Linked DNA regions of Lonchura striata. The protein of the gene in region 1 purifies or fractionates together with the protein of each later gene. This does not show direct contact. Links are inferred from orthologs where the notes say so. Each region holds a gene or a part of one and is shown on either strand. Other genes may lie near its edges.

Region 1 (6,959 bases):
CTCCCAGTAACTCCAGAGCTCCTCCTACCCCGGCTATTCCCAGCCCCCTTCAGCTGCCTCGGCCTCTGGAAGGTGATTAATTAACTAATTAATCCTTAATTAGCACTAATTAATTGTTATTGTTAATTAAAACCCCAAACCAGTAACACAAACCCCACACCAGTAACTCCAAAGCTCCTCCTGCCCTGGGTATTCCCAGCCCCCTGCGGCTGCCTCGGCCTCTGGAGGGTGATTAATGCACTAATTAATCCTTAATTAGCACTAATTAATTGTTATTGTTAATACCCCAAAGCACTAACACAAACCCCAACCCCTGAAATTCCCGTTTTTTCCCCTCCAAATTCCCACATTTTTCCCCCACGTGCCCACATTTTACCCTCTAATTCATGTCTTCTAAACCCAAAATTCCGATTTCCCTTCCTGGAGATCCCCATTTTTCCCAAAATCCCCCCTTTTCACCCCAAAATCCCCATTTTCCCTTTCCAAACTCCCCTTTTTTGAGCCCCTTTTCCCTCAAAAATCCCATTTCTCCCCCAGAAACCCCCATTTTCTCCCCGCAAACCTCCCATTTTTCCCTTTGCAAACCCCCATTTTTCTCAAAATTCCCCCTTTTCACCCCAAATTTCCCATTTTCCCTTCCAAAACTCCAATATTTTCACCCCAAAATCCCCATTTTCCCTTTCCAAGCTCCCATTTTTCACGCCCCAAATTCCTGTGTTTTCCCCCAAACCTCCCATTTTTCCCCCTCAAAACCCCCATTTTCCCCCTCAAAATCCCCGTTTTTCCCCAAATCCCCTTTTTTCACCCCAAAATTCCCCCTTTTTTCACCCCAAAATCCATATTTTCCCCTTTCCAAACTCCCATTTTTAACACCCCAGATTTCCGCGTCATCCCTCAAAAATCCCATTTCTCCCCCCAAAACCCCCATTTCCCCCCTCAACCCCCATTTCCCCCCTCAACCCCCATTTCTCCCCCTCAACCCCCCGTTTTTTCCCAAAATCCCCTTTTTTCACCCCAAAACTCCAATTTTTTTCACCTCAAAATCCCCATTTTCCCATTTCCAAACTCCCCTTTTAAAAGCCCCTTTTCCCACAAAAATCCCATTTCCCCCCCTCAAACCCCCCATTTTTCCCCCCCGAAACTCCCATTTTTTCCCTCAAACCCCCGTTTTTTCCCAAAATCCCCTTTTTTCACCTCAAAATCCCCATTTTCCCCTTTCCAAACTCCCACTTTTCACACCCCAAATTTCCTCATCTTCCCTCAAACCCCCCATTTCCCCCCTCAAAACCCCCATTCCCCCCTCAAACCCCCCATTTCCCCTTTCAAACCCCCCATTTTTTCCCTCAAAACCCTCATTTTTTCCCAAAATCCCCGTTTCTCACCCCAAAATCCCCATTTTCCCCTTTCCAAAGTCCCATTTTCCTGCCTCTTCCCTCAAACCCCCCATTTCCCTCCTCAAACCTCCCATTTCCCCCCCAAAACCTCCCATTTCCCCCCTCAAACCCCCATTTCCGCCCCCTCAAACCCCCCATTTTTTCCCTCAAAACCCCCATTTTTTCCCAAAATCCCCTTTTTCACCCCAAAATCCCCATTTTCCCTTTCCAAAGTCCCATTTTAAAAGCCCCTTTTCCCACAAAAATCCCATTCCCCCCCTCAAACCCCCATTCCCCCCCCTCAAAACCCCCATATTTCCCCTCAAAACCCCCATTTCCCCCCCTCAAGCCTCCCATTTTTCCCCCCGAAACTCCCATTTTCCCCCCTCAAAATCTCCATTTTTTCCCTCAAAGCCCCATTTTTTCCGAAAATCCCCTTTTTCCACACCAAAATTCCCCCGTTTCTCACCCCAAAATCCCCATTTCCCCTTTCCAAGCTCCCACTTTTCACACCCCAAATTTCCGCCTCTTCCCTCAAACCTCCCATTTTCCCCCCCACAAACCTCCCATTTTTCCCCCCCCAAACCCCCATTTCCCCCTTTCAAACCCCCCATTTTTTCCCTCAAAACCCCCATTTTTTCCCAAAATCCCCTTTTTCACCCCAAAATCCCCATTTTCCCTTTCCAAACTCCCCTTTTAAAAGCCCCTTTTCCCACAAACCTCCCATTTCTCCCCCTCAAACCTCCCATTTCCCCCCCAACCCCCCCATTTTTTCCCCTCAAAACCCCCATTTCTCCCCCCTCAACCCCCATTTTTCCCCAAAATCCCCTTTTTTCACCCCAAAATCCCCATTTTCCCCTTTCCAAAGTCCCATTTTCCTGCCTCTTCCCTCAAACTTCCCATTTCCCTCCCTCAAAACCCCCATTTCCCCCCCCAAACTCCCCATATGTCCCCTCAAAACCCCTATTTCCCCCTGAAACCCCCATTTCTCCCCCTCAACCCCCTGTTTTTTCCCAAAATCCCCTTTTTTCACCCCAAAACTCCAATTTTTTTCACCCCAAAATCCCCATTTTCCCTTTCCAAACTCCCCTTTTAAAAGCCCCTTTTCCCACAAAAATCCCATTTCCCCCCTCAAAACCCCCATTTCCCCCCCAAACCCCCCATTTTTCCCCTCAACCCCCATTTTCCCCCTCAAAACCCCCATTTCTCCCCCCTCAACCCCCATTTTTTTCCCAAAATCCCCGTTTCTCACCCCAAAACCCCCATTTCCCCTTTCCAAGCTCCCACTTTTCACACCCCAAATTTCCACCTCTTCCCTCAAACCTCCCATCTCCCCCCCTCAAACCCCCCATTTCCCCCCTCAAACCCCCCATTTTTTCTCTCAAAACCCCCATTTTTTCCCAAAATCCCCGTTTCTCACCCCAAAATCCCCATTTTCCCCTTTCCAAAGTCCCATTTTTTCACATCTTCCCTCAAACCTCCCATTTCCCCCCCTCAAACCTCCCATTTCCCCCCCCAAACTCCCCATATGTCCCCTCAAAACCCCTATTTCCCCCTCAGCCCCCATTTCTCCCCCTCAACCCCCTGTTTTTTCCCAAAATCCCCTTTTTTCACCCCAAAACTCCAATTTTTTTCACCTCAAAATCCCCATTTTCCCCTTTCCAAACTCCCATTTTTCACACCCCAAATTTCCGCCTCTTCCCTCAAACCTCTCATTTTTCCCCCCCAAACCTCCCATTTCCCCCCCCTCAAACCCCCATTTTTCTCTCTGAAACTCCCATTCCCCCCTCAAACCCCCCATTTTTTCCCTCAAAACCCCCATTTTTTCCCAAAATCCCCTTTTTTCACCCCAAAATCCCCATTTTCCCCTTTCCAAAGTCCCATTTTTCCGCCTCTTCCCTCAAACCCCCATTCCCCCCTCAAACCCCCATCCCCCCCCCAAACCCCCATCCCCCCCCCCCCAAACCCCCCACATTCCCCCTCAAACCCCCATTTTTTCCCAAAATCCCCATTTTTCACCCCATTTCTCCGCAGCTACGGCGGCGGCTCGGGCGGCTCCGGCTACGGGCCGGGCGCGGCGGGCGGCGCCTACGCGCAGCAGCCGCAGCCGCAGCCGCAGCCGCAGCCCAGCGGCGCCTACGGCCAGCAGGGCTACGGCCAGCAGGGCTCCTACAACCCGCCCCCGGGCTACGGGCAGCAGGGACACTACGGAGCCGCCTCCTGTGAGTCGCAGTCCCAAAAAAAACGGGAATTTTGGGGCGAAATACGCGGATTTCGGGAAAAATCGGGAGCGGAAACGGTGAAAAAATGGGTTAAAATGGAGCGATTTGGGGTGGAATTCTGAGGCTTCACGTGGGATCAGGTTTTCTGTATTGCACACTGTTACATTTAGGGATTTTAGTGGAATTCCCAAAAAATTTCCAAAAAAATTGGGAATTTTGGGGCGAAATATGAGGAATTTGGGAAAAATCGGGAGCGGAAACGGCGAAATCCGGAGCGAAATCGGCACAATTGGGGAATTCCAGGGTTTGGGATAGAAACAATGGTCCTACAACTGGTTCCAAATTATATCCAGGGATCTGAGTCATGTTCCCAAAAAAAATCGGGAATTTTGGGGTGAAATCCGCAGATTTTGGGCAAAATGGGCTGAAGTTTGGGAGGATTTGGGGTGGGATCAGGTTCCCAAACCCCCCGAGCGGCGCCTACGGGCAGCAGAGCTACGGGCAGCAGGGCTCCTACAACCCGCCCCCGGGCTACGGGCAGCAGGGACACTACGGAGCCGCCTCCTGTGAGTCGCATTCCCAAAAAAAACGGGAATTTTGGGGCGAAATACGAGGATTTTGGGAAAAATCGGGAGCGGAAACGGCGAAATCCAGAGCGAAATCGGCTGATTTTTGGCTGAAATGGGAGGGATTTGGGGTGGAATTCTGAGGCTTCACGTGGGGTCAGGTTTTCTGCATTCCACACTAAGTTATATTCAGGGATTTTAGTGGAATTCCTAAAAAAAATCGGGAATTTTGGGGTGAAATACGCGGAATTTGGGAAAAATCGGGAGCGAAAACGGCGAAATCCGGAGCGAAATCGGCTGATTTTTGGCTGAGATAGGAGGGATTTTGGGGTGGGAATTGGTTTTTCTCCAACTGGTTCCAAATTATATTTACGGATTTTAATGAAATTCCCAAAAAATTCCCCAAAAAATCGGGAATTTTGGGGTGAAATATGAGGATTTTGGGAAAAATCGGGAGCGAAAATGGCGAAAAAATGGGTTAAAATGGAGCGATTTGGGGTGGAATTCTGAGGGTTCACGTGGGATCAGGTTTTCTGCATTCCACACTAAGTTATATCCAGGGATTTTAGTGAAATTCCCAAAAAAATCAGGAATTTTGGGGTGAAATATGAGGAATTTGGGAAAAATCGGGAGCAAAAACGGCGAAATCCGGAGCGAAATCGGCTGATTTTTGGCTGAGATAGGAGGGATTTTGGGGTGGGAATTGGTTTTTCTCCAACTGGTTCCAAATTATATTTACGGATTTTAATGAAATTCCCAAAAAATTCCCCAAAAAATCGGGAATTTTGGGGTGAAATCCGCAGATTTTGGGCAAAATGGGCTGAAGTTTGGGGGGATTTGGGAGGATTTGGGGTGGGATCAGGTTCCCAAACCCCCCGAGCGGCGGCTACGGCCAGCAGGGACACTACGGAGCCGCCTCCTGTGAGTCGCACTCCCAAAAAAAACGGGAATTTTGGGGCGAAATATGAGGATTTTGGGAAAAATCGGGAGCGAAAACGGCGAAATCCGGAGCGAAATCGGCTGATTTTTGGCTGAGATAGGAGGGATTTGGGGTGGAATTCTGAGGCTTCACGTGGGGTCAGGTTTTCTGCATTCCACACTAAGTTATATTCAGGGATTTTAGTGGAATTCCCAAAAAAATCGGGAATTTTGGGGCGAAATACACGGATTTTGGGAAAAATCGGGAGTGAAAACGGTGAAATCCAAAGCGAAATCGGCTGATTTTTGGCTGAGATAGGAGGGATTTGGGGTGGAATTTTGGGATTTGGGGTGGGAACAGTTTTCCTACAACTGGTTCCAAACAATATTTAGGGATCTGAGTCACATTCCCAAAAAAAATCGGGAATTTTGGGGCGAAATATGCGGATTTTGGGCAAAATCGGGAGCGAAAAGTACGAAATCGGAACTGAAATCGGCACAAATGGGGGAATTCCAGGGTTTGGGATAGAAACAATGGTCCTACAACTGGTTCCAAATTATATCCAGGGATCTGAGTCACGTTCCCAAAAAAAATCGGGAATTTTGGGGCGAAATCCGCAGATTTTGGGCAAAATGGGCTGAAGTTTGGGAGGATTTGGGGTGGGATCAGGTTCCCAAACCCCCCGAGCGGCGGCTACGGCCAGCAGGGACACTACGGAGCCGCCTCCTGTGAGTCGCATTCCCAAAAAAATCGGGAATTTTGGGGCGAAATATGAGGAATTTGGGAAAAATCGGGAGCGAAAACGGCGAAATCCGGAGCGAAATCGGCTGATTTTTGGCTGAGATTTTCGGCGTTTGGGGTGGAATTCTGAGGCTTCACGTAGGATCAGGTTTTCTGCATTCCACACTAAGTTATATTCAGGGATTTTAGTGAAATTCCCAAAAAAATGGGGAATTTTGGGGTGAAATATGCGGATTTTGGGAAAAATCGGGAGCGGAAACGGCGAAATCCGGAGCGAAATCGGCTGATTTTGGGCTGAGATAGGAGGGATTTTGGGGTGGGAATTGGTTTTTCTCCAACTGGTTCCAAATTATATTTACGGATTTTAATGAAATTCCCAAAAAATTCCCCAAAAAATCGGGAATTTTGGGGCGAAATCCGCAGATTTTGGGCAAAATGGGCTGAAGTTTGGGGGGATTTGGGAGGATTTGGGGTGGGATCAGGTTCCCAAACCCCCCGAGCGGCGGCTACGGGCAGCAGGGACACTACGGAGCCGCCTCCTGTGAGTCGCACTCCCAAAAAAAACGGGAATTTTGGGGCGAAATACGCGGATTTTGGGAAAAATCGGGAGCGGAAACGGCGAAATCCGGAGCGAAATCGGCTGATTTTTGGCTGAGATAAGGAGGGATTTGGGGTGGAATTCTGAGGCTTCACGTGGGATCAGGTTTTCTGCATTCCACACTAAGTTATATCAAGAGATTTTAGTGGAATTCCCAAAAAATTTCCAAAAGAATTGGGAATTTTGGGGTGAAATATGCGGATTTTGGGAAAAATTGGGAGTGAAAACGGCGAAATCCGGACCAAAATTGGCTGATTTTTGGCTGAAATAGGAGGGATTTTGGGGTGGAATTCTGAGATTTTAGATGGGATCAGTTTTTCTGCATTCCACACTAAGTTATATTCAGGGATTTTAGTGGAATTCCTAAAAAAAATCGGGAATTTTGGGGCGAAATATGAGGATTTTGGGAAAAATCGGGAGCGGAAACGGTGAAAAAATCGGTTAAAATGGAGCGATTTGGGGTGGAATTCTGAGGCTTCACATAGGATCAGGTTTTCTGTATTGCACACTGTTACATTTAGGGATTTTAGCGGAATTCCC
Region 2 (7,274 bases), on another chromosome or scaffold:
AAATAGGAGAAAAATGAATTAATTACAAATGGAATGAGCAGAGCACACAAGGATCAGGGAAGTGGTGGATAATGCAGAGCCCAGGTCAGGGACTGAGCCAAAGCAAGGGCTGAGAAAAAACAGCCCCAGCAGCTCCTGGGCTCTGCTCCAGCTCTGCTGAACCCCCCAGGCACCGAGCACAGCCCCGGGCAGCTGAGGGACCCCTGAGTGAACAGCAGCTCCAGGAACTCCTGTCCCCTCTGGAAAACACTGCTGGGTACCAGGCAGAGGCACTGCTCAACACCAGGGAACTGCTGCTCAGCCACACCTGCTTCTGGGACCTGGAGAGGAGAATTCAAACTGGGAAAAGCCCTGACAGGCCATGAAGTGGTGAGTGGAGAGAGGAGCCCAAGGAGACCCCCACAGCTCCAGCTGCTCATCCCAAAGAGAGACAACACGCACACACACTGCATGTACAGGGCCATGGACCCTGCCCACCACAATGCACAGACCAACACTACATTTCTACCAGAAAAAGCCAAGGATGCTTTTTATTCCACAGAAAACTCCTTTGACATATGACATCTCCAATTTTAAATGCATTTGGAATTTTTTCCAAGTTTTCTCCCAGCCCTGGTGTCCAAGAAGCTGCTTTGGGCCACAAGCACAGCACAACTGCTGACTGACACAGCACTCTGCACTCAGCCAGCAGCACAAAAATTCCCAATGGAAACTGGAACAGATGGGACCTAATCTGACCTAATCTGAGAGTGGGATCAACCCAAAATGTCCCAGTATGATGTGTGCTACACACTGACTGTGTGGATATTTAACAGGTTGGGCAGAGCAGCTGTGGCTGCTCCATCCTGGAAGTATCCAAGGCCAAGGCTGGACATTGGAGCTTGGAGCAAGCTGGGATAGTGGAAGGTGTCCCTGCCCATGGCAGGGATGGGTTTTAAGGTCCCTTGCGACCCAAACCATTCCAAGAAGGTTTCCTGAGCCACAAGCTGTTGCTATGGAGCTTGATATTAGCCCCTTTTGTGTGCAACCCTACCCTGTGCTGCTGGTGGGGAGGGAAAATGTCTGTGAAACAGTTTGTCCTGCACTTCCTCTTGTTTTGGGTTCAGAACCTGGGAACTGGCTGCTCTCAGGTCAGTGGGACACCAAGCCAGAGCCCAGATGTGCCTCCCCAGCCCCACACTCACTCCATCTCGTAGACAGTGACCGGCAGCGTCTGCTCCATCAGGGAGAACTTCTTGGTTTTCACAGGTTTGATAATGGGCTCTGAAACAAGAGACACAACAACAGACTGTTCCCAGAGCCCCTGAACCAGGAATGGCCCCTGGAATGGGGACTTCAGCTGACAACCCCTCAATTTTGTGGCTGACAGATTCTCCCAGCTGTTTGTCAAGGCTGCAGGAGATGGCCACTGCAGGGCCCTTCCAGCTGAGCCATTCCGGTAAAGGAGATCACTTAACTGCATTTACTTCTCCCTTACACAGCTTTCCCATCTCTGCTGATTCCTGTTCTTCCAAGGTACCTTTGGGTTTGCAAAAACCACAAGTGCCCAAATCTGCACACAACAGGCAGAGCTCCTGAGGCTAGGAGGGGGCTCCAACGGGGCAGGAGAGAAGGGAAGATTATTTCCCTTTCCAAGGATCCATTAAGAGCCTTCTCCTCCCGCCACCTCCTCCCCACTCACCGGTGAGTGGCTGCGTGTCCTCCTCCTGCACAATGGTCTCCACCTCAGGCCCATAGACCTCCTCTGCCGTGGGGTAGTACTTCTTGTCCTCGTGCAGCACCACCTCCATCCCGGGGTGCTCCTCATCGTGCTCCCCCATGTCATCGTCATCGTCATCATCCTCCAGCTGCAACCAAAGCTCGCCCTGAGCGGCTGTGGGGCCCCCCAAGGGGACAGGCCTGGGGTCACCCCGAGCCAGGGACCCCAGTGCAGCCCCAGAGGTGCCCTGGGAGCAGCTCCTGGAGGAGCAGCATGGCTCTGCCCACAGCACAGGATCAGGAACAGCCCCTGGCCTTGCAGGGACACCAGCCCAGGCAGCGACCCCACACAGCACAAGAATCACACCCGGTAACACAACCCACCCCACAGGCCATGGGAAGGGGCTCCCCGCCCCTCTGCTCCCCCCGTGTCCGTGGGGTCTTGCTCTGCCTCTCCCCACCAGGATGCGGCTCCCCGCGGCAGCCTCGGCTCCCTCCCGCCGGACACGGACCCCGCCCGACACCAAACCAGCCGAGCACAGCCCGGCCCGGGAGCTCCCAGCAAGGACTCTGCATCTCCCTTTCTGCAGGAACAGCTTTTGTAATCCTTTAAACACCGGCACACTCCGACCCTCGGGCACTGAGCAGAGCCCAGAGTCACACGGGGCGGCAGCAGCCCGGGCCCGTCCCCGCTCCGGCTCCGGGCAGGACGAACCCCGCCGGCCCCGGGGCTCTTTGCCCCGCCTCACCTCGTCCAGGTCTTTGGCCTCTCGGCCCAGCTCGTCGTCGTCATCGTCCGAGTCCAGCTCGGGCCCGATGTAGTTCCCAAACTCGTCGTACAGGTCGGTGTCCATGCTGGGGGGCGGGAGAGGATCGGTGGGGGCGCAGGGACTGCGGGCCGTGACAGAACCGCCTCAGGGCACGGAGCCCCGGCCCTGTCCGCAGCCTCGGCCCGGTCCCGGTCCCGCTCTCCCTCACCCTCACCGGTCCCAGTCCCGGCCCCGGTCCCGCTCTCCCTCACCGGCCCCGGTCCCACTCCCGGTCCCGGTCCCAGTCCCGTTCCCGGTCCCGCTCTCCCTCACCGGTCCCAGTCCCGTTCCCGGTCCCGGTCCCGCTGTCCCTCACCGGCCCCGGCCCCGGCCCCGTTCCCGCTCTCCCTCACCGGCCCCGGTCCCAGTCCCGTTCCCGGTCCCATTCCCATTCCCAGTCCCGTTCCCGGTCCCGCTCTCCCTCACCTGCCCCGGCTCCGCTCCCGCCGCTGCTCTCGCCGGCGCCGCCGCTGCCGAAGGGCCCCGGGCCGCCCTCGCCGCCTGTCGCCACAGAGCGTTCCGCGCCCGTCGCCAGCGCCGCGCCCCTCCGAGGAGCGCCGGCTGAGTCCGGAGCGGGGTCGGGACCGGGTCGGGACCGGTTCCGGAGCATCCCGAGGGCCGCGGGGCGAGCGGGGCCGCGCGGGGCGGCGGGGCCGGTCCTGTCAGGCGCGGCCGGGGCAGCCCCGGGGACCTTGCGTGGCCCCGGCGCTCTGGCGGCGGGAGCGGCGCTGTCGCGATAGAGCGCGGCCGTGGGCTGAGGTGTTCGTCACCCGCGGCGCTGTCGCGATAGAGAGCGGCCCTGGGCTGAGGTGTTCGTCACCCGCGGGGCTGTCGCGATAGACCGCGGCCGTGGGCTGAGGTGTTCGTCACCCGCGGGGCTGTCGCGATAGAGAGCAGCCCTGGGCTGAGGTGTTCGTCACCCGCGGGGCTGTCGCGACACAGCAAGGGGCCCCGGGGCCGGCGGTGTGTCAGGGCCTGGGGAGTTTCGGGCAGGGGAGCGCTTCCCAGTGGCCATCCCCGTGCGCGGCCTTGGGGCTCACAAGGCAGGACTGTCGCGATAGGATCGGGGCTGTCGGGCCAGTCCCGGCAGCGCTGTTGTGACAGAAGTGTGTCCTCGAAGCCACCGCAGGCAGGGCTGTCCCTGTCCGCACGTCCCGCAGGTGCCTGCCCGCGGCCCGGGATGGAGCCGGGGATGGAGCCCGGGATGGATCCGGCCGGAGCGTTCCCGGCGCTGGAGCGGGAGCTGCGGGCGGCGCTGGCGGAGGACGAGCGGCGGCAGCGGGAGGGCGAGGCCAAGCTGCGGGCGCTCCGCCAGGGCGTCCCCGACTACGACCAGTTCAGGTCCGGGGCTCGGGGAGCGGCCCGGGAGGGGCCGGGAGCTCGGCTGGGCGCTCCCCCCGGGTCTGAGCTCAGCTCTGAGGGTCTGAGGCTGCCCCGAGGGACCCGAGGGCAGCGGCCCCGGGGTGCCCTGAACAGCCCCGGGGCAGAGCCCACCCGGCCGTGGTTGAGACTTGGCCCAGAGCTCCTCAGGTGGCCCCGTGTGGGCTGAGATCTGTCTCTGCTCCGTGCCTGACCCCTGTGGTGGCCCAGCTGTAGCCAGCAGTGGAGTGGCACTGTCCCCTCCCCAGGACAATGTCACCTTTTCCCGTTCCCAGCCCAGCCCCACAGCCCCAGGCTGTGCTGGCAGAGCAGGAGCAGAGGGTGACGTGTCCCCTGTGCCCTTCCCAGCCTGTCCCTGCTCCCTGGAGTGTCACTGCTGTGGCCGGGGCTTGTGAGCAGGCTGGGATGGCAGGGCGGCTCCACGGGGCAGTGTTAGGCACTCCCAGTGCCCCCCAAACTCCTGGGTTTCCCGTGGATCCCTCTGGGGGCTCCCTGTCCATCTCCATCCAGGATCCAAAGGTAGATCCAGGGCTTTGACCACACTTGGGAGGCATTCTGGGACCAGCTCAAATTCCATTCATGGATTCATGTCTGTCTCATTCCCCCCTGCCACCTGATCCCCGAGGAGCAGGAAAACACTTTCAAGTGGCTTCTCCCCAAGTATCTTGATGGGATTCCCCAGGGATTTTAAGGTGGTTTATCCTTGTATTAGTCAGGGCCCGCTCCTCCAGCCTGTCCAGCCCCTATAGGTGATCCACACAGCCCAAAGTCAGAAATTGGCTCAGGGGAGCAGCTTGAAGCCTCAAAGTGTTTTCTCTTGCCATGTGTCCCTCCTGTCTCTGTTCCCTTTAGGGAGATTGTGCTGGCTTCTCACCTGAAGCCTCTGGAGAAGGAGGACAGGCTGGGACAGAGGAGGAATGTGCTGTGGAATCCCTGTGCAGCCCCAGCCCAGGCAGCACCTGCCCACGCTGTGGAGATCCCACAGGTGAGGGAGAGGCTGCTGGGGCCTCATCCACAGCTGGGAATGACTCAGGAATCATCTGGGTGTTAATTGGAATGCAGGAGTTACTCAGGATTCACTCTGGGTGTGAGCCAACGCTCCAGCCCCTTGAATATCAGAATTTGGGTCAACATGGGGTCAGGCTGGGCCTCTTCAGGGAGAGTCTGCTCCATCCCTGTGGGAATGGAGGCCTGGCTGCACAGCCTGGCCCCAGAGCTCCCAGTGCCCCCGTGCTGGGACAGGAACAGTCCGTGGGAGCTGTCCCTGGCTGGGAGCTGCTCCCAGCAGCTGCAGCCTGACCCAGGGCCAGGCCTGCACCAGGATCCTCCCTGGGACAGCCTCTGGCTGCAGAGGTTCCTGAGCACAGGGAATTGCCCGTGGTTTAATGATCATGGAAAAGAACTGGCTTGGGTTAATCCTGCCCAAGCCTGATCAGCTCACTGGGTCCCTCAGCAGTGGGAAACAGGGACAGGACATTTTCTGTCCAAGCCATTTGTGATTGGAGTCACCTCCTGCCCCTGCTGTGGGCTCTGTCCATGCTGGAGTGTCCTGGTCACTGGATGTTTCCCATGATAAGGCAATTTCATGGATTGCCTTATAAACAATCTCGAGGATTGTTTATGATGCTGGGTTTCATTGACCTGTGTTTATTGTAAGATCTTTTGCAACTCTCCTGAGTAGTTCTGTGTTTGCTTGGACTGAGCAGTGATCTCCCCAAGCAAATCCTGCTCCTGGTTCCATCAGCACCAGGCTCAGATCTCCGGAGCTTCTCCACCTGTGCTCAGCCCCAGCTGGTGTCACTTTGCTTTGTTCCCTGGCTGTAGAAAAGCTGCACATTTCCCTCCTCCTCCAGCCTGTGTGTTGGTGACCCAGCAGGGCTGGGCTCAGCAGTTCATTGGAGCTGGTATAAAATGGGATTTCCTCTACCTGGGAATGCCACTTGGAGCTCAGCTCTTAGCCTCTGCTCTGGCAGACACCCACCAAAGCCAGGTGGTACCAGAAAGGGCATCTGGACATTTTCTGTGGTTTGCATCTCCCACCTTTGCTCTGCCACCCCCTGGTTTTTCCTCTGTGTGCTCAGAGTGTTTCCTGCCCTGATCTCTCTGAGATCCCTTCCCAGGCAGTGCTGCTGGATCCAGGCTGGGCAGAGTCTGACTCTGGCTGGGGCTGGGGCCACTCCACAGCCATCTGTGCTCACCCTGGGTGTCACACCTCATCCACACGTCCCTTTTCCCCTGGAGTTCCCTGGTTTCTCGGGGTTAAAGGCACCTGCCGTTTCCTTGTTTTCCCCTTTTCCCCCTCAGCAGCTCCTTGTGCTGCCAAAGCCCCTGGTAAAAACATCTCAGCTGTCCATCAAAGGGCTCAAAGTCTTCAGGTGGGAACAAAACAAAAGGACCTGAGTGTCTCCTTTCTCCTCCAGGAGCTGGATCAGCTGCCTGGCACTGCTGCAGAATTTCACCGAGATTGGCGCAGATGCTTGAAAAGTGGGACAGAGAAATACCAGTTCTTGCTGGAGCTCGGAGGGGAGGCCTTGGGCAGGATCTTCCAGGCTGATGTGGGCTTTGGCCTCCTGGGGGAATTCCTGACAGTGCTGGCAGAGAACATCCATCCTGGAGACAGAGCTGCCGTCCTTCAGGTCCTGCAGAGCCTGGCGGGCACCAAGCGCTTCGGGCTGAACGTGGCTCTCCTGAGCCAGGCGGAGAAGGAGAGCAGCCAGGATTTGTTCAGGAAGCTGCAGAGCAGGGATTGCCAGGCTGCTGGCCAGCCCAGCTGCCTGGCCAGCTGTGAGGCAGGGAGGGAAGCCTTTCCCCTGGAAACTGAGGAGGAGAGGACAGTAGTGGAGCTGATGAAGTGTTACCAGGTCAGCTGAGGGAGCAGGAGCACCAGGATTGAGCAGAAACAGGGTAAAAAAGGCTCAGAAAAAACTCAAAGCTTGACTTTGGCACCCCCCAGGGCACAAGTTCTGCACAATAAAGTTTAGCTCCCAGGCTGTGGTGCTGTGATCTCTGAGCAGGGTGTCCTCACAGATGGGTGTGGCAGAGTCTCTTGGATGAGGAGAAAACCAAGGGAAAGAAAACAGGGTGGTAGTTTTGAAGGAGAAATCCTTAAAACTCTTAAAACAGCCTCTTCACATAGTACTTGTTGTCTGAAGAACAATAATTGTGTTTCTCCTCTTGTGGTTACACTTCTGTTCTGCTTTTCTGGGTGATCTAGGGAAAACATTATAACCTCCTTTCTCATGAGAATGGGAAGAGTCAAGGCACTTCTTGAAGCTTCTGGTCTGAGGTCTGCATATGAAAAGGTAACAGTAAAATGAGGAGAGGACTGTGGTGAAAGATCTCCATCTGGCTTTAGTGGTATCACACACCCACTAGTGATAAAACCCA
Region 3 (7,373 bases), on another chromosome or scaffold:
AAATAAGCCAACCTGAAACAATGCTCATTTTAAACCAGGTATGCTGGGTTTTAAATTCAGGTTGGTATCACCCTGCACCCTGGTGACACAGAGCTGCAGCCCTCACTGTCATGGTCACCTCCAGCAATGACTTTACACAAATGACTCACACAAACCCCTCCCAAACGCAGGAAGATCACCCAGCTCAGGCTGCTCACCGGCCAGCCTGGGAACGTGCCGTTCTCCCACTTCTTCTCAAACTCCGTCTGAATTTTCCCAAAAAGTTCATTCTGGTCCAGTAATGGCTTCACTCGATCTGTGTAATCCTGCAGGTACTCAAGGAGCATTTCAAGATACCTGGAATACAGGGGAATCATGAGCACAGGTAATTCACTGTCACCCTCTAACCACATCTTTGGACAGTCACTACCCTCCAGTGCTGCAGAGGAACGTGACCAAGGCATGGCCAGTTTTCCACAGATTTTTTTGCCATTACAGGTCCAATGGTACATTAAAGCTCTTCCTCTGAGCTGAATGTGTCTTTCCACATCTCTGCTGCACTGCAAGTTTGATTGGGGCTCAGACACATGACTGAGCTCAGGGACATGATTTATGTGAGTTAAGTTTGGCTGTTAATTACAATCTCTGCAGCTGGACACTTCAGAAGCAAATTCCTTCTCACCATAAAGGAAACAGGCAGGCAAACAAGCTTACCTCTTATATTCAGCATTTTTCCTCTCCTTGGGAATATCGAAGAGTTGGTCAAATGTGGATAAGTAAGTGATATAATCCAATTTCTAAGAACAGAAAGTCCGAGTCAGAGCTCATACAAGGCCAGATTAACAACCAGTTCCTAGAAAAGACAAGCCTCAGCCCGGGCAGGGCCTGGAGATCCCTGGGCCCACACACAGCAGACACTCACCTCTGATGATTTCAGGTTGATGTACTTGAGATAACAATCATGCAAATCCAAGTATCGGCCATACCCTTCCTCATCTGTGAACTCCACCAGATCTGTAGGAAAGATCATGAAAAGCTTTATTATGAACTTAATATTCCCTACTTGTATTATACAACTCTTTTTGAACTGGAAAAGGATCAGCTGCAAAGTCATTTATGCTTAAGGAAGGTGCTACAATGTCTCTGACACTCATTGAGCAGCCCCAACTGCTGCTCTGTGCAAGCACCAGAACATTCCTCAGGAACAGCAGCCTCACTGGGGACTGTTCCAGGGACTCCAGTTCAGAACCATTTAGATGACAGGAGAATTTTCAGAAGTCATTTAGTAAAAGGGAGGTGAGGCCCTGAAACACGCAAACCAGATCAAACAGCCTATTAAATAATGCCAGAGCTTGAGCAAACTACAAACTTACTCTGAGCTTCTTCACTCGGGTTGTCTTTGGCCTTCAGCAGCTCCTCAAACTCCACTGACATAGGAACACAGATCTGCAAAGGCAGATACAAGGCACAGAGCGATTTACTTCAGCTCCTGTCCCAGAATAACTACTATAAAATCATGCAAGGTGGCAAATAATGAAATTGCAAACAGAAAAGAGACTCAAAGCTTTGTCACCTTTCTTTCTGCACAAAGGCAAAAGTGTGGCTTTAGCCAGCACAAGAAAGGTGAGATCTGATCCCAGCTCAGCTGAACATCCCTGTTCTAGCAGGGAACAGGGTGAGCATCCTGCACTGCTCCCTGACATGCTGCCTGACCCTGAGCATCTGTGCTGTGTGTTCTCAGTACTTGTGTGTTAAAGCAATAAAACTGGGGAAACAAAACCTCTGTTTCCTTTAGGGATGAGACCCAACAGAGCACAGCACACCTCTTCCTATGGACCAGGTAACTACTCACCTCATTTGGGTGCTTCCGGTGAAATTCCTTAATTTGCTTCAGTCTGTTGTAAAACTCTGCAAATTCATTTGGCCCGGAAATGGCACTGAGTTCTTCCTTACGCAGGCTATGAGTTCACAGACAGCAAGAGATTAGGAAGGGAAGGGAATAAGGGAGCAAAGGAAAGGAAGGGAAAGGAAGGGAAGAAGGGAAGGGGGGAAGGGAAGAAGGGAATAAGGGAAGGAAAGGGAAAGGAAGGGAATAAGGGAATAAGGGAATAAGGGAATAAGGGAAGGGAAGGGAAGGGAAGGGAAGGATGACACTGACACAACCTTAGTCCAGGGCTGTGCTGCAGTGTCTAGACTGCAAACCTTTAAGTCATGGGGACCTCCCAGCCCACCAGGCTCTCATGGTCACAGCCCACACAGGCTGCAGCCCCTGACAAACCCCGGGAGCAGGCAGGGCCTCCCCACGACACAACACAACAAAACCTGCCCATCCTACACGGATGCTCCTGGGTGCACTCGCGTCCTGCCCTGCACTCGGCCGCCACCTCTCCATTCCCGTGTCAGTCTTTAGACACACTGGATCCAGCAGCCCGGCACGCTCCGACACACGAGGGCCCCGGGCACACTCACCCGTCCTTGTCGTCGTACAGGTCCCGCAGGTTGCCGCTCACTTCCATGTACCTCTGCGGAACAAAGGAGCGGCCCGAGTGGCGCCGAGCCCGTCACCGAGCCCGTTATCGAGCCCGTTATCGAGCCCATCATCGAGCCCGTCACCGAGCCCGTCACCGAGCCCGTCACCGAGCCCATCACCGAGCCCGTCACCGAGCCCGTCACCGAGCCCGTCACCGGGACGGGCCCCGGCGGCCCCGGGGAGCCGCCCGGCCCGGCCCGGCCCAGCCCCGCTCCCGCCCGCAGCACTCACGTCCTGCATGGCCCGGGTGCGGTGGTCCGAGTTGATCTGGTCGCGGAGCTGCGGGCAGAGCAGAGCGGTGAGCGCGGGCCCGGGGGAGCCTCCCGCACCCCCCACAAGGCCCCGGGCGCACCGTGGACTTCTTGGTGAGCATCTCCTTCACCATCACGTCCATGAGGCGCTCCCGCTCCTCATGGTAGCGCCGCTGCTGCTCCAGGATCGTCTCCATGCCGCGCTCGGCTCGCAGCCGCCGGCAGGCCGCGGCGAGGCCCCGCTGTGTGGGGAGGTTCCGGTTCCGGGGCGCTGCGCGGGGCCGCGGCGCGGCCGGCAGGAGGCGGCTGCGGCCGTGCCCGAGCGCGGTGTGTGACCGCGGGTTTGTGTCCGACAGCGGTGTCTGACAGCGGGGATGTGTCCGACAGCGGTGTCTGACAGCGGGGCCGTGCCCGAGTACAGTGTCTGAGAGGGGGCCGGTGTCCGACAGCGGTGTCTGAGAGCGGGGCCGTGCCCGAGTACACTGTTCGAGCGGCCGGGCCGTGCCCCTCAGCGCGGGCCGTGCCCCTCAGCGCGGGCCGTGCCCCTCAGCGCGGGCCGTGTCCGAGCGCGGTGTCCAAGCACGGACCGTGTCTGAACGAAGTATGCGAGTGTGGGGCCGTGTCCGTGCGGCAGGGCCGTGTCTGAGTACAGCGTCCGAGTACAGTGTCCGAGTGGCAGAACCGTATCGGAGTGCGGTGTCCGAGCCGCAGGGCTGTGGCCAAGCACAGTGTCTGGGTACAGTGTCCGAGCACAGGGCCGTGTCCGAGCGCAGTGTCCGAGAGCAGGGCCGTGTCCGAGCACAGTGTCCGAGTACAGTGTCCGAGCACAGGGCCGTGTCCGAGCACGGTGTCCAAGTGCAGTGTCCAAGCACGGGGCCGTGTCCGAGCACGGTGTCCGAGCTGCAGGGCTGTGTCCAAGCGCAGTGTCCGAGCACAGGGCCATGTCCGAGCACGGTGTCCGAGCGCAGTGTCCGAGTACAGTGTCCAAGCACAGTGTCCGAGCACAGGGCCGTGTCCGAGCACGGTGTCCGAGCGCACTGTCCGAGCACAGGGCCGTGTCTGAGCACAGTGTCCAAGCACAGTGTCCGAGCACAGGGCCGTGTCCGAGCACAGTGTCCAAGCACAGTGTCCGAGCACAGGGCCGTGTCCAAGCACGGTGTCCGAGCGCACTGTCCGAGCACAGTGTCCAAGCGCAGTGTCCAAGCGCAGTGTCCGAGCACAGTGTCCAAGCACAGTGTCCGAGCGCAGTGTCCGAGCGCAGGGCCGTGTCCGAGCCATGGTGTCAAAGCACAGTGTCTGAGCACAGGGCCCTGTCCGAGCACGGTGTCCAAGCGCAGTGTCCAAGCACAGTGTCCGAGTACAGTGTCCGAGCACAGGGCCGTGTCCGAGCACAGTGTCCAAGCACAGTGTCCGAGCACAGGGCCGTGTCCGAGCACGGTGTCTGAGTACAGTGTTCGAGCACAGGGCCATGTCTGAGCACAGTGTCCGAGTACAGTGTCCAAGCACGGGGCCGTGTCCAAGCGCAGTGTCCAAGCGCAGTGTCCGAGCACAGTGTCCGAGCACAGTGTCCGAGCGCAGTGTCCGAGCGCAGGGCCGTGTCCGAGCCATGGTGTCAAAGCACAGTGTCTGAGCAGAGGGCCGTGTCCAAGCACGGTGTCCGAGCGCACTGTCCGAGCACAGGGCCGTGTCCGAGCACGGTGTCCAAGCGCAGTGTCCGAGCACAGGGCCATGTCCGAGCACGGTGTCCAAGCGCAGTGTCCGAGCGCACTGTCCGAGCACAGGGCCGTGTCTGAGCACGGTGTCCGAGCGCACTGTCCGAGCACAGGGCCGTGTCCGAGCACGGTGTCCAAGCACAGTGTCCGAGCACAGGGCCATGTCCGAGCACGGTGCTTGGTGGCACTGAGTGGCCCGAGGTGCCGGTTTGGATTTAGGGCTGCCCCAGCCTGGAGCCTCCCGGGGTTGCCCGGCCACAGCAGCGCTGTCCAGTGCCCAGCCAGGCCGTGCCGTGCTGGCTCCCCACGGCCGGTGCCTCAGTGCCCAGCAGCACAGACTTTGCTTTCAGCCCCATGTGGGTTTCAACTGCCTTCTTCAGATCCCCCCTAAATCCAAGGGTGCCTTGCCCCAACACTGCCAAATGCAAAGCTGTGATTACATTTTGACTCACTGTATATTAATAAATCATTAATATTTTTCTGCCATGTGCAATAAATTACTCTCAGCCAAAAGCAAGAAAAAAAATTGTCTTAATGGCAGCCAAAGATGATCCTTCAATGAGGATAGGATGATGCTGCAGGTAAGAATACTGTCTTTAATTACTCCCTTGCATTATAGGCAAATTACATCACTTTTCTTCATGAATGCCTGCCTAAAAATAAAAACAGAGATATGATTCTGAGCTTAGTGTTCTTCCATTTCTCTTTGCATGAACCTTCACTCTGGAAAGGGAAGAAGTTGAAATCCAGCAGTGCCCTCTCCAGCCACATGGCCTTCTTATTTTGGACTGCTGGCATCAGGAGGATCAAGGTGGGACAAGACCAGCCCTTGCATGACCACCCTCCTCCTCAGCCCACAGGTGGCAGTGCACATGGGAGGAATTGGGAGAAAGCTGGACTAAGAGATGCTATTTCATTTCAGGGACTGGGAGCTGAAATGCAGAGAATCACAGAATATCCTGAACCCATGAGGATCATCAAAGTCCAACTCCTGGCCCTGCACAGGACTCCCCAGGCAGTGGCTTGTACCTGGCTCTGCCCATTGGGGCTGCAAACGCTGCCCCTGATCCACAGTGGTGCAGGAGGGCATAGCTTGGGCAGATTTGGTCAGTGCCAGGGTCTCTTTCTACCCCTGCAGTGCTGCCCCATGTCCTCAGCAGCTTCCCCCATCCCACCTCACCAGCACAACAGCCCTGGCTTGACCCCCCTCACACCACTCCTTGTGCCTAATAAAATTTCCATGACTGTTTCAGACCCACACTCCAGAGTCTCGGGGGATGTTTGTGCATGACATCACCCTCCCCCTCCTGTAAATCAGGCACTGGGCCATGTACAGCCATGACCCATTCATGACAGGGATAAAATCCAGATGTTTCAGTGCTACGTGCAGCTGGGTCATTTCCTTTTTTGGCTAAAAACGTGAGGCTCTGGAGGCTGACTGAAAGAAGAGCCTGGGGGCCCCTTGTATAGAAACCTTTTGCGGTTAATCCCTGGAAACAGCACTGCAGAAAGCCCGGCTGGAGCTGCTGCTGCTGGAGGACAGGCTCAGCTGGGAACCTCTGGGCTGGAGCTATTCACTCACCCTCCAAGGGCCAGCACAGCACCAGAGCCCAGCCCAGGTCACAGGGCAGCAAGAGCAACAAAAATCGTGCTAGAATTCCATCAGCCAGCAGAGCAGAGCCTTTGAAGCGGCCAGGAATGTGCACACACCAGTGCCATGGTCCTGCAGAGGCACCCCGTGGGCTGTGCCCAGCCTGCCACCACAGCAGCACCCATGGGAGCCTAGCCACTGTGCTGAGAGGGCTGGAGCAGGCAAGTCCAGAGCAAGTCACAGCAGCTGTTGGTAAATGTAAAGGATCTGTGGAAAATAGTTTCATATGTTAGGGAACACATGGCTCCCTGGCTGATAAACATGAGTACAGAGCATGCAGCACTTCAGGGAAGGCTGCCAAGAGGGACCGTGGATATCCTGGCTGGAGGCTGCAGCTACCCCAGGAGTCCCCTTGGAATGCTGTGGCATGGGCAGGCAGTGCACACTGCAGGGCAGGAGGCTGCTCTGCAGCAGGGTTGGCTTGGTACCACAGCCATCCCAACAGTCCCACAGCCAGCCTGCAAAGACAGCAAGGACAGACAGATGGACACCCCCAGCCCCTGGAAGCCACTGCAGCCACGCAGCAGGAGGAGGGAGACGCTGTGGCCACAATCACAGGGCCGGCACGGCTGGTCCTGGGCTGTGGTTTGGGAAGGCAGGCACAAGCACTGCAGAGGTTGCCCGTCCCCAGAATGGGATCAGGGGTGAGGCAAGGCTGAGCAGAGCCCAGCACCCACTCAGCATTCTGCCCTGTGCCTGCTGTTCAAGAGACACAGAAGAGAAAGTGTCACGAAAATGGTTTATTGTATAAAGCTGTAGGAAATACAGAGGACGCTGAGGTTTAGGACAATTCCTTCTGGAAATGGCTCCAAGCTCCTCTCATAATAGCAAACACACAAACTCTGATTTGCTGTCATCAAAACTTCCAAACAAGGATTTAAGAAGGATCTGAATGCAGAGTAGTAACACTTCAACATGCATAACATTTTATGTTTCTAAGTGAAGCCCGGGTGGGGGGCTAGCCCCTTTATCCTGTAGTTGTGTACAAAATGATGGATATTCATGAAAGATGAGTACAAAAGGGAAAAAAACCCACAAGAACAGGTTTTCAGTAAAGCATGTGGCTGACTAAGCAGGAAAGCAGGGTTGGCAAAAGTATCCCAGCGAGACAGAAGCAGAAGGATTTAGAGACGAGGCAGGCATCCCACTGGGAGAGGCCTTAGCCCAGGGCCAGCTCATCCATTGGGCAAGGATTGCACAAGGCCTCATTTGAGTCTGGGATGGCTCAGACACCCGATTTTGCAGTTAGG

What was found. The genes of interacting proteins can lie anywhere in the genome.
Region 2: the proteins of RNA-binding protein FUS-like (region 1) and EFTUD2 purify together in Homo sapiens (affinity purification with mass spectrometry; 3 studies listed by BioGRID and IntAct, with this or other methods). This does not show direct contact. The link is inferred for Lonchura striata from reciprocal best matches to the Homo sapiens genes FUS and EFTUD2.
Region 3: the proteins of RNA-binding protein FUS-like (region 1) and SF3A3 purify together in Homo sapiens (affinity purification with mass spectrometry; 3 studies listed by BioGRID and IntAct, with this or other methods). This does not show direct contact. The link is inferred for Lonchura striata from reciprocal best matches to the Homo sapiens genes FUS and SF3A3.

What each region holds. Positions count from the first base shown.
Region 1 is NC_134637.1:542,518-549,476, reverse strand, and holds the start of RNA-binding protein FUS-like, read left to right. Parts: upstream 1-3,959; coding exon 3,960-4,161; intron 4,162-6,959. Other genes in the region: uncharacterized protein LOC144247894, read left to right, coding at 3,408-3,717. UniProt on the Homo sapiens protein: DNA/RNA-binding protein that plays a role in various cellular processes such as transcription regulation, RNA splicing, RNA transport, DNA repair and damage response. Binds to ssRNA containing the consensus sequence 5'-AGGUAA-3'.
Region 2 is NC_134627.1:2,895,430-2,902,703, reverse strand, and holds the start of EFTUD2 (116 kDa U5 small nuclear ribonucleoprotein component), read right to left. Parts: upstream 3,020-7,274; 5' UTR 2,934-3,019; intron 2,554-2,933; 5' UTR 2,553-2,553; coding exon 2,448-2,552; intron 1,848-2,447; coding exon 1,682-1,847; intron 1,264-1,681; coding exon 1,185-1,263; intron 1-1,184. Other genes in the region: DNAAF19 (dynein axonemal assembly factor 19), read left to right, coding at 3,688-3,848, 4,740-4,872, 6,308-6,757. UniProt on the Homo sapiens protein: Required for pre-mRNA splicing as component of the spliceosome, including pre-catalytic, catalytic and post-catalytic spliceosomal complexes. Component of the U5 snRNP and the U4/U6-U5 tri-snRNP complex, a building block of the spliceosome.
Region 3 is NC_134628.1:4,815,449-4,822,821, forward strand, and holds the start of SF3A3 (splicing factor 3A subunit 3), read right to left. Parts: upstream 3,020-7,373; 5' UTR 2,958-3,019; coding exon 2,862-2,957; intron 2,789-2,861; coding exon 2,741-2,788; intron 2,502-2,740; coding exon 2,449-2,501; intron 1,938-2,448; coding exon 1,832-1,937; intron 1,426-1,831; coding exon 1,353-1,425; intron 994-1,352; coding exon 902-993; intron 777-901; coding exon 694-776; intron 337-693; coding exon 198-336; intron 1-197. UniProt on the Homo sapiens protein: Component of the 17S U2 SnRNP complex of the spliceosome, a large ribonucleoprotein complex that removes introns from transcribed pre-mRNAs.